3 linked regions of the Saccharomyces cerevisiae S288C genome follow. The protein of the gene in region 1 interacts with the protein of each later gene in a pairwise test. Each region holds a gene or a part of one and is shown in the gene's direction. Other genes may lie near its edges.

Region 1 (5,666 bases):
CATATTCTAGGTTAAAGAGATATGTGGTGGTAACTTAAATGACAAAAGTACTTTTAGTGACTTTACTTCAAGCAGTAGGAAGTTAGTGAAGTACTAGTAACTCTCTGTAAAGCCATTTTGTATGAATTTCATCTCATCGCTTGAAAATTTTAAGAGCGCCGGGTAGTAACAATTGGTCTCTTATTTTTTTCTTTCAATAGTTGAGGCAAAACATTGCTTTATTGTAAAAGAATGAAAGTTTGGAAACATACAAGAACGTTAAAAATGTGAGCGTATTGATTTGGCAATCGATTCAAGTCAGATAACAATGCTGGCAAGATATTTAAATTTAATAGGACGGAGGAGTGCTTCACCGTACAGACCACAGCGGCTACCGGCAAAGTTTGACAACGTGATAGTGGCAATGTCATCTGGGGTAGATTCCTCTGTGGCGGCAGCACTATTTGCCGGAGAATTTCCAAATACCCGAGGAGTATATATGCAGAACTGGTCTGAATCACAATCTTTGGACGACCCTGGCAAGGAGCCATGCTACGAGAGGGATTGGAGAGATGTGAACCGTGTCGCTAAGCATTTGAACATCCGAGTTGACAAAGTTAATTTTGAGCAAGATTATTGGATAGATGTATTTGAACCAATGTTGAGAGGCTACAGTGAAGGGTCGACACCCAATCCAGATATCGGTTGCAACAAGTTCGTCAAGTTCGGCAAGCTGAGAGAGTGGCTGGATGAGAAGTATGGGACGGGTAACTATTGGCTTGTTACTGGTCATTACGCCCGAGTTATGCAGGAAATGAATGGAAAAGGATTATTCCATTTACTGAGAAGCATTTATAGGCCCAAGGATCAAAGCTATTACCTTTCACAAATCAACTCCACTGTTTTGTCATCTTTGTTGCTACCCATTGGCCATCTAACGAAACCAGAAGTACGAGATTTAGCGAAGTATGCAGGCCTCCCGACTGCAGAAAAGCCTGATTCACAGGGCATATGCTTCGTCAACAATTCCCAGCATGGGAAGTTCAAGAATTTTTTAAAGCACTACCTACCCAGTTCACCGGGTGATATCATTACCGTTGACCCACAATCCGGTGCCAAAACGACATGGGGCAGACACGATGGATTGTGGTCTTACACAATTGGACAGAAAGTGGGCATATCCATGCCACAAGCTGACCCTAATTACCAAGGGACCTGGTTTGTCAGTGAAAAACTAAGGGATACCAACGAAATCTTGATAGTCAGAGGAAGAGATAATCCGGCGCTATACAGTGACACTATGCGAATCGAAAACTTTTCGTCTTTGGGCCCCAGGGAGGACACTATAAACGCTTTCCAAAATACTGGTGCCTTGACATTACAATTCCGGTCCCTGCAGGTCCCAGTCCAAATTAAATCGTGCAAACTGAATCGCTCTGCCGACAACCTCGACATAACAATACACTTAGCCTCAAAACAACGTGCCATAACTCCTGGGCAATCGTGCTGTCTATATATCGACGATAGAGTCCTTGGGAGTGGGCCCATTTCCCATGTTAATAATAATGACACCCATGCATAGTGATGATAATGAATTTAGTATATCACCTTATACGATGCGCCGCAGCAATTAATCTTAGCAACATACTTGCCTAATTGAACCACGGTGGTACGATACAGCCAAGAAGAGCTCATGAAGCGGCTGACCATTTCGAAAAGTAATCTGTATATATGAAGGTCTTTTCCCTTGAATCATGTCTCAATAAGTAGTTCATTTTTTTTTGCCCTCTTGTTTTTCTTTTTCATTTTTTTAAATCACACTTTTTTTTCTTTTCAAGATTTATAAATCTTCCTTCCAGGTTTGAGCCGGACCCATTGTTTAATTAAAGCATAGAAGGCAACGAAGGAGTGGGTTATAGAATTAGCATTGCGGCAAAAACGTCATATTTATTAATATTTATTTGCGAAGGTCATATTCAACGCAATCGCACGTCCTCTTCCGTCTTTTTTCTAGCTTTTGTCCTTTTTTATTTGTCTACATCCCTTTCTCTACGGTATCCAGAAGAAGGTGTGTGTGTGTGTGTGTGTGTGTGTCTATAAAAAGCAGTAAGAGTCACCAAAAAAAAAAAACGACAAACAAGTGATCCGAAGTGTGACGAATAAAGCAAACTCTCCAACTCAAAATGATAACTGAGGGATTTCCCCCGAATTTAAACGCGTTGAAAGGGTCATCCTTACTAGAAAAGAGAGTTGATTCTCTCCGACAGCTTAACACTACCACGGTTAACCAGCTGCTGGGGTTGCCGGGGATGACCTCTACATTCACGGCTCCGCAACTGTTGCAGTTAAGAATAATAGCTATAACTGCGTCTGCCGTGTCCCTTATTGCCGGTTGCCTCGGAATGTTCTTCCTTTCTAAAATGGATAAGAGACGAAAAGTCTTCAGACATGATCTCATCGCATTTTTGATAATTTGCGACTTTCTTAAAGCTTTTATTCTGATGATTTATCCCATGATTATCCTTATTAATAATAGTGTGTATGCAACACCTGCATTTTTTAATACCTTGGGTTGGTTTACGGCCTTTGCCATCGAAGGTGCAGACATGGCCATAATGATATTCGCCATACATTTTGCTATTTTGATCTTCAAGCCTAATTGGAAATGGCGAAATAAAAGATCGGGAAATATGGAGGGTGGCTTGTACAAAAAAAGGTCATATATCTGGCCAATTACTGCATTAGTACCTGCCATTTTAGCAAGCTTAGCCTTCATTAATTATAATAAACTCAATGACGATTCTGACACCACTATTATACTGGATAATAATAACTACAACTTTCCCGATTCTCCCAGGCAAGGTGGCTACAAACCTTGGAGTGCATGGTGCTATTTACCACCCAAGCCGTACTGGTATAAAATTGTTTTAAGCTGGGGTCCCAGATATTTCATTATTATTTTCATATTTGCAGTCTACCTCAGTATTTATATTTTCATTACCAGTGAAAGTAAAAGAATTAAAGCGCAAATTGGAGACTTTAACCATAACGTACTAGAGGAAGAGAAAGAAAAGAAAAAATTATTTGGGCTCGGTCACTGGGGAAAAGCCAAATGGTATTTCAGATCCTATTTTAAATTGCCATTGCTACATCTTTTGAGAAATTTAAAGAATTTTTTCACCATTTCGTTCATAGATCCGAATGAGGAAACAGACGATTCAGGTAGTAGTAATGGAACTTTCAATTTTGGTGAGAGTTCGAATGAGATACCTACACTATTCAGAAAAACAAATACAGGTAGTGATGAGAATGTCTCGGCAAGTGGTGGAGTTCGCTTACTTGACTATAACAGTGCTAAACCACTCGATATGTCCAAATATGCAATGTCTGAACAGCCAGATTTGGAAAGAAATAATCCTTTTGATTGTGAAAATGACATCACACTCAATCCTTCGGAACTAGTATCCAAGCAAAAGGAGCATAAAGTTACTTTTAGTGTTGAAAATGAAGGACTGGATACAAGAAAAAGTTCAATGCTGGGACATCAGACTTTCTCTTGCCAAAATTCTCTAGAATCTCCTTTAGCAATGTATGATAATAAGAACGATAACAGCGACATAACTAGTAACATTAAGGAAAAAGGAGGCATCATCAACAACAACAGTAACAACGACGACGACGACAACAACAACAATAACGATAACGATAACGATAACAATAATAGCAATAATAATAATAACAATAATAATAATAACAATAATAATAATAACAATAATAATAACAATAACAACAACAACAACAATAATAATAATAATAGTAATAATATTAAAAATAACGTTGATAACAATAATACTAATCCAGCCGATAATATTCCTACACTTTCTAATGAAGCATTTACTCCGTCTCAACAATTTTCACAGGAGAGAGTGAATAATAATGCAGACAGATGCGAAAATTCAAGTTTCACCAACGTACAACAGCATTTCCAAGCCCAAACCTACAAACAAATGAAAAAACGTAGGGCACAAATTCAAAAGAATCTAAGGGCAATATTCATTTATCCACTGTCGTATATTGGGATATGGCTTTTCCCCATCATTGCAGATGCGTTGCAATACAATCATGAAATAAAGCATGGGCCTACCATGTGGGTGACATACATTGACACTTGCGTTCGACCATTAAGTTGTCTCGTCGACGTCATTGTTTACCTGTTCAAGGAAAAACCTTGGAACTATTCATGGGCAAAAACAGAATCAAAATATCTCATTGAAAAATATATTCTGAAAGGAGAGCTTGGTGAAAAGGAAATTCTGAAGTTTTGTCACAGCAATTGGGGGAAAAGAGGTTGGTATTATCGTGGTAAGTGGAAGAAAAGAAAATGCTGGAAATATTCTACAAACCCTCTGAAGCGTATACTGTGGTTTGTTGAACGCTTCTTTAAACAATTGTTTGAACTAAAACTACACTTTAGTTTTTATGACAATTGTGACGATTTTGAATACTGGGAAAACTACTATTCAGCCAAAGATTCAAACGATAATAAACGCACAGAATCTGATGAGACTAAAACGAATAGTAGCGATCGCTCCCTTCCATCAAATTCACTTGAACTACAGGCAATGCTTAATAACATCACGGCCGAAGAGGTTGAAGTGCCCTTGTTTTGGAGGATCATTCATCATATTCCAATGCTTGGCGGAATAGATCTTGATGAGTTAAACAGATTGTTGAAAATACGGTACAATAACGACCATTTTTCTCTACCCGGGTTGAAATTTGCATTAAACCAAAATAAAAGTCACGATAAACATCAGGACGTCTCAACTAACAGTATGGTCAAATCCAGCTTCTTTTCAAGCAATATTGTCACAAACGATGATGAGAATAGCATTGAAGAGGATAAGAATTTACGCTATTCAGATGCTAGTGCATCTGAAAATTATCTGGTCAAGCCCACAATACCAGGTACGACTCCTGATCCAATAATTGAGGCGCAGAACGATAATGATAGTAGTGATAGTAGCGGCATAGATTTGATAGCCTTCTTAAGAAATGGACCATTATAAAGTTTTTGTATCGCGATGTTTGAAAATGGAAAGTAAGGAACGTAATACAAATTGACAAGTAGCCGACATGAATGACGCTCACTTCTCTTATATATGTTAGGTAGTATATGCATTATAGAATTTATTCATTGAAGCAATGTGATTCCTCGATAAGTAAGCTTTTTTTCTGTCTGGCGGCGAACCATTAGAGAACAAAAGACCGAGTTAAGAAAAAGTTCATAAAAAACTTTTGAAAATGGATGAGTGCTCGTATAATGGAATAGGAAACTTATGCAAAGAAATAATAGGTTAAGAAATTTGTTTACAGTGCCAGTAATAATGGCTCGACAACTCAAAAGGAATGCATTATCTGCAGGTCTTGCTTTTGCAGGTAATGCAACCTCAAATGAGTTTGATGAACATTTGCAAAATGAGGTTGAAAGAGAGAGGGAAATTCAAAAGAAAAAAAAAATAAAGCGAACTCAATCAAAAAAATCGCCAGATTTGATTAATAAATCTACTTTTCAATCACGAACGATAGGCAGCAAAAAAGAGAAACATAGACAACTAGATCCAGAGTATGAAATTGTCATCGATGGCCCTCTAAGGAAAATCAAGCCCTACCATTTTACGTACAGG
Region 2 (4,043 bases), on another chromosome or scaffold:
CATTCTGGTATTCTGACGGGGCCTGGGTTGGCCATACTGTCCAAGGTCCCGATAGAGTCGACCTTTCTTTACCGGTTCCCGATAAACGGTAGACCGAGTGCGGTGTTCCGTGGCGACTGGTACGTAGGGAAATCTATAGCAATCACCGTATTGAACACAGGAACCCGCCCCATTGCAATAATGAACAGTCACATGCACGCCCCATACGCCAAGCAGGGTGATGCCGCCTACTTGTGCCACAGATCTTGTCAGGCCTGGGATTTCAGCAGGCTCATTAAGCTTTACAGGCAGGCCGGTTATGCGGTGATTGTGGTGGGTGACTTAAACTCCAGACCGGGCTCACTGCCCCACAAATTTCTCACGCAGGAGGCCGGCCTGGTCGACTCCTGGGAGCAATTGCATGGGAAGCAAGACTTGGCGGTGATCGCTCGTCTGTCTCCATTGCAACAATTGCTTAAGGGCTGTACCACGTGCGATTCGCTGCTCAACACATGGAGGGCCCAAAGACAACCCGATGAGGCATGCAGGTTGGATTATGCTCTTATCGACCCTGATTTCTTGCAAACAGTAGACGCAGGTGTCAGGTTCACTGAACGGATCCCTCACCTGGACTGCAGTGTCTCTGACCATTTTGCATACTCATGCACCCTTAACATCGTCCCACAGGGCACAGAGTCCCGTCCATCCACCTCCGTTAAGCGTGCGAAGACTCATGATAGAGAGCTGATCTTGCAGAGATACTCCAACTACGAAACCATGATAGAATGCATCCACACGTACTTGAAGACAGCCCAAAGACAGAAATTTTTCCGTGGCCTACATTTCTGGGCCTCAATACTTCTCCTAATAGCGTCGTTGGTCGTGACAACGTTTACTGCAAACAAGGCAGGCTGGTCCTCCATCTTCTGGGTCCTTTTCGCTATTGCTGTCTCCATCTCGGGCACCATCGACGGTGCCATCTCCTTCTTGTTTGGCAGGTCTGAAATCAGAGCCCTCATCGAAGTCGAACAAGAGGTTCTGGACGCGGAGCACCACCTGCAAACTTTCTTGAGCGAGAAATGATATTATCGATTTTCTTTAGCATATGTAAAAAAATTACTGATATTATATAATGTGTGTAAATTTCGTCAATAGATGCAAAGCAATCACGGAGAAGATGAAACCGACAGATAGGAACAATACGACAAGGGAGTCGACTCTGAATCCATTGGCTTCGTCCGTATATAACTTCAAAATTGAGCTTGAAGACCCACCGTAACCAGCCTGTCTGGTGGAAGTGGGCGTTTGTTTTGCTTGCTTTTCCTTAATGGATTGTGCCTGTCTTCTCTTCTGCAAGATACGCTGACCTCCTGGTGGAACTGAAGCTGCCATTCTTATGATACTGTTGATCGATAATACCACCTGTTTTATGCTTTGCGCCCCTTACCTTTTCTCACACGCACATATATCTACTCTCTCATACCTCTTATATCTAAAATGTCTCTTTTGGCCAGTTAGTAACTGAATGAAAAAGTGAAAATGGAGGAAAAAAAAAAAGACGAAATCCAAAAGGCTAAGGAAACGGGTAACCCGTGGTACCCGGGGCAGAATCAAACTTATAATTACTAAAGATATACCATATATTACGATCCCTGCGCCCGGCGTGCTCCACATTAAGTAAATGTCTGGAGTAAAATGAAGTCCGCCAATTCAGTCACAAAACATGACTACTGCCTCGTTCGCGATTTCTTCTTCCCTTACTTCATCATGTTCAAGCCCCCTCAGCTGCGCCCAAATGATTCTTCTTATCCTCTTGCATACTGCACCGAAAAAAAAAGTTAATAAGCAGCAGGATTTATAGGCGCGTGCGTGCAGCCTTAGACTGAAGGGGTGGAAAAACTTTAGGTAGGTTTGGTTCTCACTACCCAAAGAGCAATCGATAGGTATAAAAGTGAGCAATTGCTATCACAGCGAGCCTTATTGTTACAGCACAAATCACGCGTATTTTCAAGCAAATATCATGGGTCTCTGCGCATCTTCAGAAAAGAACGGCAGCACTCCTGACACGCAGACCGCCAGCGCTGGTAGTGACAACGTTGGCAAAGCGAAGGTACCACCAAAGCAGGAGCCACAGAAGACTGTGAGAACAGTCAACACAGCAAATCAACAAGAAAAGCAACAACAGAGGCAGCAGCAGCCGTCTCCGCATAATGTTAAGGACCGCAAGGAGCAAAACGGGAGCATTAATAACGCGATATCTCCCACGGCTACGGCAAATACAAGCGGATCGCAACAGATCAATATCGACTCTGCCCTGAGAGACAGGTCGAGTAACGTTGCAGCACAACCATCATTGTCGGACGCTTCAAGTGGCAGCAACGACAAAGAACTGAAAGTGCTACTGCTGGGTGCCGGTGAAAGTGGTAAGTCCACGGTATTGCAGCAGTTGAAGATTTTACACCAGAACGGGTTTAGCGAGCAGGAAATTAAAGAGTACATCCCCTTGATCTATCAGAATCTATTGGAAATTGGCAGGAACCTCATCCAGGCGAGAACAAGGTTTAACGTCAACTTGGAACCGGAGTGTGAACTGACGCAACAAGACCTGTCGAGAACCATGTCCTATGAAATGCCCAATAACTACACGGGCCAATTCCCGGAAGATATCGCGGGCGTAATATCTACGTTGTGGGCCTTGCCCTCAACACAAGATTTAGTCAATGGGCCTAACGCATCGAAGTTCTATCTAATGGACTCGACTCCTTACTTCATGGAAAATTTCACCAGGATCACTTCGCCCAATTACAGACCCACCCAGCAGGACATATTAAGATCGAGACAGATGACGTCAGGGATTTTTGACACCGTCATTGATATGGGGTCGGATATCAAGATGCATATTTACGACGTGGGTGGACAGCGTTCCGAAAGAAAAAAATGGATACACTGCTTCGACAATGTCACTCTGGTCATATTTTGCGTTTCTCTATCGGAGTACGACCAGACGCTGATGGAGGACAAGAACCAGAACAGGTTTCAGGAATCGCTGGTGCTTTTCGATAATATTGTCAACAGTAGATGGTTCGCGCGCACGTCTGTCGTACTCTTTCTGAATAAAATCGACCTTTTTGCTGAAAAACTAAGCAAAGTGCCTATGGAAAATTACTTCCCAGACTACACCGGCGGGTCAGACATCAACAAGGCTGCTAAGTACATACTCTGGAGGTTTGTTCAGTTAAACAGGGCGAATCTAAGCATATATCCTCACGTGACACAGGCCACAGACACGTCGAATATAAGATTAGTATTTGCCGCCATCAAAGAAACAATTTTGGAAAATACATTGAAAGACTCTGGAGTGTTACAATGAATGCACAGCTAAAACAGAGACAAAACTGCATGCCTCTTCTCCCCTTTATTATCACCTTTAAAAAAGATAAAAAAAGAAACTGGAAAAAAGGTAAAAAAAAAAAAAAAATTAAATAAATACGAATACGTTTTCTCATGACCATTGTACTAGTAATCACAACCATGATACTTGAATAACTTTTCTGTTTTGTGCTGTATTAAGCACAACCGTTATTTTTTAATTTATAGCGTTATACCACTATATTATTGTAGTCATTATAGTTATTATCCCGGGTAACAAAAATTTCATTCCAACGAGGTAATAGTTCCACTTTTCAGGCAGGAGGACGAAAAACATTTGCCACCCAAGAAAGAGACAAAGCAGTAGGTAAGGCATTCATCACACAATTTGAAAGGGGGTATAGTAAAAAAAATTCAATTGAGCAAATAGAATGGCTAGCACTGCAGTAATGATGGACGTGGATTCTTCCGGGGTCAATGACTTGCACCATTCTGAGAAGAAATATGCGGAAGAAGATCAGGTTCAGGAACTATTGAAAGTTTTGAATGAGATCTCCAAGACCACTTTAACGCTGGACCCAAGATATATATGGAGGAGTTTAAAGGACTTGAGCTCTTTAAGGAACCAGGAGCTTTTGAATGCGGAAACTTTATGTTTCACAGTGAATGTGCTGTACCCTGATTCTTCTTCATTC
Region 3 (5,305 bases), on another chromosome or scaffold:
ATTAGTGACGTTCATAATATTGAGGAAGGTTTTGCTCATTTGTTGGATTTACTAGAGGATGAATTCTCGAAGGACGATCAGGATAGCGACAAATACAATCGATTTAGCCCGATGTTTGACGTCATAGAAGAATCTACACAAATTAAGACTCAGTTGGAGCCATGGCTTACTAACTTGAAGGAATTATTGGATACGTCATTGGAATTTAACGAAATTTCAAAGGATCATATGGATACATTACATAAAATCATTAATAGCAATATATCGTATTGTCTGGAAATTCAGGAAGAAAGGTTCGCGTCCCCGATACGGCATACTCCATCATTTACCCTAGAACAACTAGTCAAGTTATTAGGAACGCATACGGAGACAACTGAGCCAAAGGTACCAAAATTTTCTCCGGCAGAAGATATTTTATCAAGAAAGTTCTTGAACCTAAAAAAAAATATCCCTCCAATTGAAAAAAGTTTGACTGATATCCTACCTCAAAGAATTGTGCAATTTGGGCACCGGAATATAACAAACATAACTACTTTGCAAACAATCTTGCAAAAAAAATACGAGCTGATAATGAAAGATTATAGATTTATGAATTCAGAGTTTAGGGAATTGAAAGTCGAACTAATCGACAAACGTTGGAATATACTCTTTATTAATTTAAATCATGAACTATTATACATTCTTGATGAGATAGAAAGGTTGCAGTCGAAATTACTGACAACAAAGTATACCAAAGATATCACTATAAGGCTCGAGAGGCAATTGGAGAGAAAATCAAAAACTGTTTCTAAGACATTCAATATTATTTACAGAGCATTGGAATTCTCACTTTTGGACGCTGGCGTCGCATCGAAGACAAATGAATTAGCTCAAAGATGGCTGAATATCAAGCCTACAGCGGATAAAATTCTAATCAAATCCTCCGCTTCAAACAAAATAGCTACTAGCAAGAAGAAGATTCCAAAACCGAAATCATTAGGCTTTGGGCGACCGAATAGTGTTATTGGAACTATAACCCAGGATTTCCAGGAGAGAGTCGCCATTAATGAAGGTGACAGTAATAAAACACCGGAAAATTCAACTACAGTGGCTTTGAAAGGTAAAAAGCTTGGTAAAGCGTTACTGCAGAAGATGAATATTAAACCTGCAACAAGCCCAAATTCATCAAATGCGATTAATCCATTTTTTGATCCGGAGTCGCCAAACAAAGGAAAACTGATACTAAGTAGTGTTCCTCCCTTACCTTATGACGAAACCGATGAAACCACCCTCCGTGTTTCTCGTGGGGAAAATGAAAAGTCACCAGACTCCTTCATTACATCTCGGCATGAAAATAAAGTACAGATTACAGAAACTCCTTTGATGGCAAAGAATAAGTCTGTGCTTGACATCGAAAAAGATAAATGGAATCATTACCGGTCCTTGCCCTCTAGGATCCCTATATACAAGGATAAAGTGGTGAAAGTCACCGTAGAAAACACACCGATAGCAAAGGTTTTCCAGACTCCGCCAACAAAAATCACGACACCTAATAGTCAAGTTTGGGTCCCTTCGACAAGAAGAAGAACCCGATTGAGGCCTCCCACCCCCTTATCACAGTTACTTTCACCAAGAGAAGGGCGTTTAGATAAAACCCCAACTTATTGATACTAACCTAAAACTGTATACTTATACATTTTTATATATCCTCCCTCTCACCCTCTCCATTCATAGAATTTGTAATACTAGTTTAAATAATGTAATATTATGTGTAATTTTAAATAGTCCATGAAGATTCCGCACGTTTTCATTTTACAGTTTTTGACACCTTTACCCGACGCTTTATAAAAAAAATAGTATAAGCATCACGACATAAGCAGCCTCAGGTCATTAAAACAATAAAAGACTGGGAATTATAAACGTACAACGGTAAGGTCATTCACGCAGTGTATATGAATGACTGAAAGTGCTATAGATGACCAAAGGTTTAATCTTACAAAGGAGTTACAACGACACTCATGCAGAGATCAAGGGAAAATAACACAAAAGGATGATGCTTTAGATTTTATAAGTTACAGTTCTTTTCAATCCTCTTTTAATACTGACCAAAAAAGCGCGAACAATGGAAGTACTGTGAGAAGAAGCATAAGGTCGATTTTTAGAAGAGCAGCCGAATTGCCTAGAGTCCATATGGGGCCTCTTACTTATTCACATGGGATAAATGAGCTTGTTAACAAGAAATTAAGAAAAGACTGTGATCTCAGCACGCTATGTCGCGTATTGCAAAGAGGAATCAGGATGATTAGGATGACAAGAAGAAGAAGGAAGTTCTATGAATTTAAATTAATCAATAACAACGGGCAAATAATATGGAAAGATGGTTCGAAGTATCTGGAATTAGACTCCGTTAAAGACATCAGAATCGGTGATACGGCGAGTACTTATCAAGAGGAAGTAGATCCGAAAAGATTGAGATCGGACAGTAAACTTTGGATTGCTATTATTTATAAGGTTTCCAACAAATTGAAAGCGTTACACGTAGTTGCTTTGAATGAATTGGACTTTAACACATTCTTAAGCTGCATTTGCGGTTTAGTGAAGTTAAGGAGGGAATTAATGGAAAGCATACTTTTGCCTGATAATTCGCAATTCGCTAGGATACATTGGCAAATTACTGTTTCTGAAAAAGAGGAAGATGAGAAAAAGGACACATTGAGCTTTGCAGATGTGAAGAAACTATGTGATAAATTTCATATTTATGTGTCAACTGGTCAATTGTTAGAGTTTTTCCAATTAGCAGACATCAATCATAACGGACTATTAAATTATTTTGAATTTGAAAAGTTCATTAAAATCTTAAAGAATAGGAAAGAGGTAAATATGATTTGGTCTAAATTTACAAAACCTCCACACTCCCACTTATCATTTGAAAATTTTTTTCAATTTTTAATTACAGAGCAGCATGAGCAAGTGGATCGTCAAACTGCATGGTCATATTTTATTAAGTACAGAGAACCGACTCAGCTGACGATGGGGCAAGATGGTTTTACCAAGTTCTTGAAGGAGCAACCATATTTGGTGGAGGTTAAAGAGGAGTTATATTCAAAGCCATTAAACCATTATTTTATTGCATCTTCACATAATACTTATTTATTGGGGAAACAAATTGCAGAAACTCCATCTGTGGAGGGATATATTCAAGTCCTACAACAAGGTTGTAGGTGCGTAGAAATTGATATATGGGATGGTGAAAATGGGCCAGTGGTATGCCATGGATTTTTAACGTCAGCTATTCCCTTAAAAACAGTTATACGCGTGATAAAGAAGTACGCTTTTATAACGTCTCCGTATCCTTTGATTATTTCACTGGAAATAAACTGTAACAAGGATAATCAAAAATTGGCAAGCCTGATAATGAGAGAGGTTTTAGCAGAACAGCTGTACTTTGTTGGCACAAGAACTGATAAACTGCCATCACCAAGGGAATTAAAACATAAAATACTGTTGAAATCCAAGAAGACGAGTGAAGCAACTAGAGGTCTTAGCGTTAATGAGCCATTTCCATCTTCTTTTAGTTCTTCTTACGAATCAGCTAATGAACAGGAATTAAGAATGAAAGATGACTCCACGAACAGTAGTAGCGCAACAAATTCTTCTAGTATGCAACGCATCAAAAGAATTGGATTAAAAAAGCACGCTGATATAATTAATGATGTTTCTAACATTTCTGGAATACATGGCATCAAGTTCAGGAATTTCTCTTTACCAGAGTCCAAAACGATAGCGCATTGTTTTTCACTGAATGAGCGCAAAGTAGAATACATGATAAAAGACAAACACTTAAAATTATCGTTGGATAAACATAATAGAAGATATTTGATGAGAGTCTATCCTCACGTTTTACGATACAAATCATCAAATTTTAACCCAATACCTTTTTGGAAGGCCGGTGTACAAATGGTGGCTACGAATTGGCAAACTAATGATATTGGACAGCAACTTAATCTGGCAATGTTTCAAATATTAGATCACCAACCTGATGGAAGTTTTAAATCAGGATACGTGCTAAAACCAAAAAAGTTGCTACCTGTAGTAACAAAGGCGAAAATGATTCCATTAATTTACGAACATTTTGAAAATGGTAGTGATCCTGTTACTGTTAAAATTCGAATTTTATCTACACAGTTATTGCCCAGATTGAATGATACATCGCCAAGCAGAAATAACACCAATTCCTTTGTTAAAGTGGAGTTTCATACCGATGACGAGCCGACAATGCCCATCTCAATCGATAAGGGTACAAGGATTTCTGCCACTGAAGCATCCACTAAGAGTTCTCAAGGGAATGGATTCAACCCAATATGGGATGCTGAAGTTTCTATCACATTGAAAGATACAGACCTCACATTTATAAAATTCATGGTTATCTCTGAAGAGACCCAGATTGCATCTGTTTGCCTTAAGCTGAACTATTTGAGGATGGGATATCGTCACATTCCGTTGTTTAACATGGAGGGGGAACAATACATATTTTGCACTTTATTTATTCATACACAAATTTTATAGGCGATCTTTTTCCGGCCAAATACACATATTCATAAATACGTACATATACCTACTTGCATATACCAACATGATTACCTAGAATGGATATATCAAATGGGACGACGAAGTACCACGACAATACACAATAACAACTTCTGTTTTTCGCTGATTGCCTTCTCTTCAGCAGAAAGTTGATGCATATTTCGCGTAGCGCGTTGACGCGTCTTCTTTCTGAAGTTTTGTGCTTTTGTTATCATACTATATAAAGTAAAAAGAAAGGAGAACATATTAAGCATTACTGAATTAGGATCCTTTGGAAGAAATAAAGTAAGAGACACTGAAAGATGATATCACCATCAAAAAAGAGAACCATTTTATCAAGCAAGAATATAAACCAAAAACCACGAGCAGTGGTAAAAGGCAATGAACTTCGTTCACCATCAAAGAGAAGGTCACAAATAGACACAGACTATGCACTAAGGCGAAGTCCAATAAAGACAATCCAAATTTCTAAAGCTGCACAATTTATGCTGTATGAGGAAACGGCTGAAGAAAGAAACATAGCTGTCCACAGACATAATGAAATATACAATAATAACAATTCTGTGAGCAATGAGAATAATCCTTCCCAAGTAAAAGAAAACCTTTCACCCGCTAAAATTTGCCCTTATGAAAGAGCATTTTTAAGGGAAGGAGGAAGAATTGCATTGAAGGACTTAAGTGTTGACGAATTCAAAGGTTACATACAGGATCCTCTCACCGATGAGACTATACCACTGAC

Evidence for each region.
Region 2: the proteins of GPR1 (region 1) and GPA2 interact in a two-hybrid assay, tested with the Saccharomyces cerevisiae proteins (4 studies listed by BioGRID).
Region 3: the proteins of GPR1 (region 1) and PLC1 interact in a two-hybrid assay, tested with the Saccharomyces cerevisiae proteins (one study listed by BioGRID).

The regions. Positions count from the first base shown.
Region 1 is NC_001136.10:388,554-394,219, reverse strand, and holds GPR1 (Gpr1p), read left to right. Parts: upstream 1-2,162; coding exon 2,163-5,048; downstream 5,049-5,666. Other genes in the region: ATP-dependent RNA helicase DBP10, read right to left, coding at 1-3; SLM3 (tRNA-5-taurinomethyluridine 2-sulfurtransferase), read left to right, coding at 308-1,561; pseudouridine synthase PUS9, read left to right, coding at 5,319-5,666. UniProt on the Saccharomyces cerevisiae protein: Seems to associate with GPA2 and act as G protein-coupled receptor that senses glucose and controls filamentous growth.
Region 2 is NC_001137.3:193,169-197,211, forward strand, and holds GPA2 (guanine nucleotide-binding protein subunit alpha), read left to right. Parts: upstream 1-1,999; coding exon 2,000-3,349; downstream 3,350-4,043. Other genes in the region: ISC1 (inositol phosphosphingolipid phospholipase), read left to right, coding at 1-1,062; Arf family guanine nucleotide exchange factor SBH2, read right to left, coding at 1,105-1,371; proteasome regulatory particle lid subunit RPN3, read left to right, coding at 3,780-4,043. UniProt on the Saccharomyces cerevisiae protein: Alpha subunit of the heterotrimeric guanine nucleotide-binding protein (G protein) involved in glucose-induced cAMP signaling.
Region 3 is NC_001148.4:33,301-38,605, forward strand, and holds PLC1 (phosphatidylinositol phospholipase C), read left to right. Parts: upstream 1-1,935; coding exon 1,936-4,545; downstream 4,546-5,305. Other genes in the region: KAR9 (Kar9p), read left to right, coding at 1-1,647; ACM1 (Acm1p), read left to right, coding at 4,869-5,305. UniProt on the Saccharomyces cerevisiae protein: The production of the second messenger molecules diacylglycerol (DAG) and inositol 1,4,5-trisphosphate (IP3) is mediated by activated phosphatidylinositol-specific phospholipase C enzymes. Required for cell growth, osmoresistance and expression of GPD1.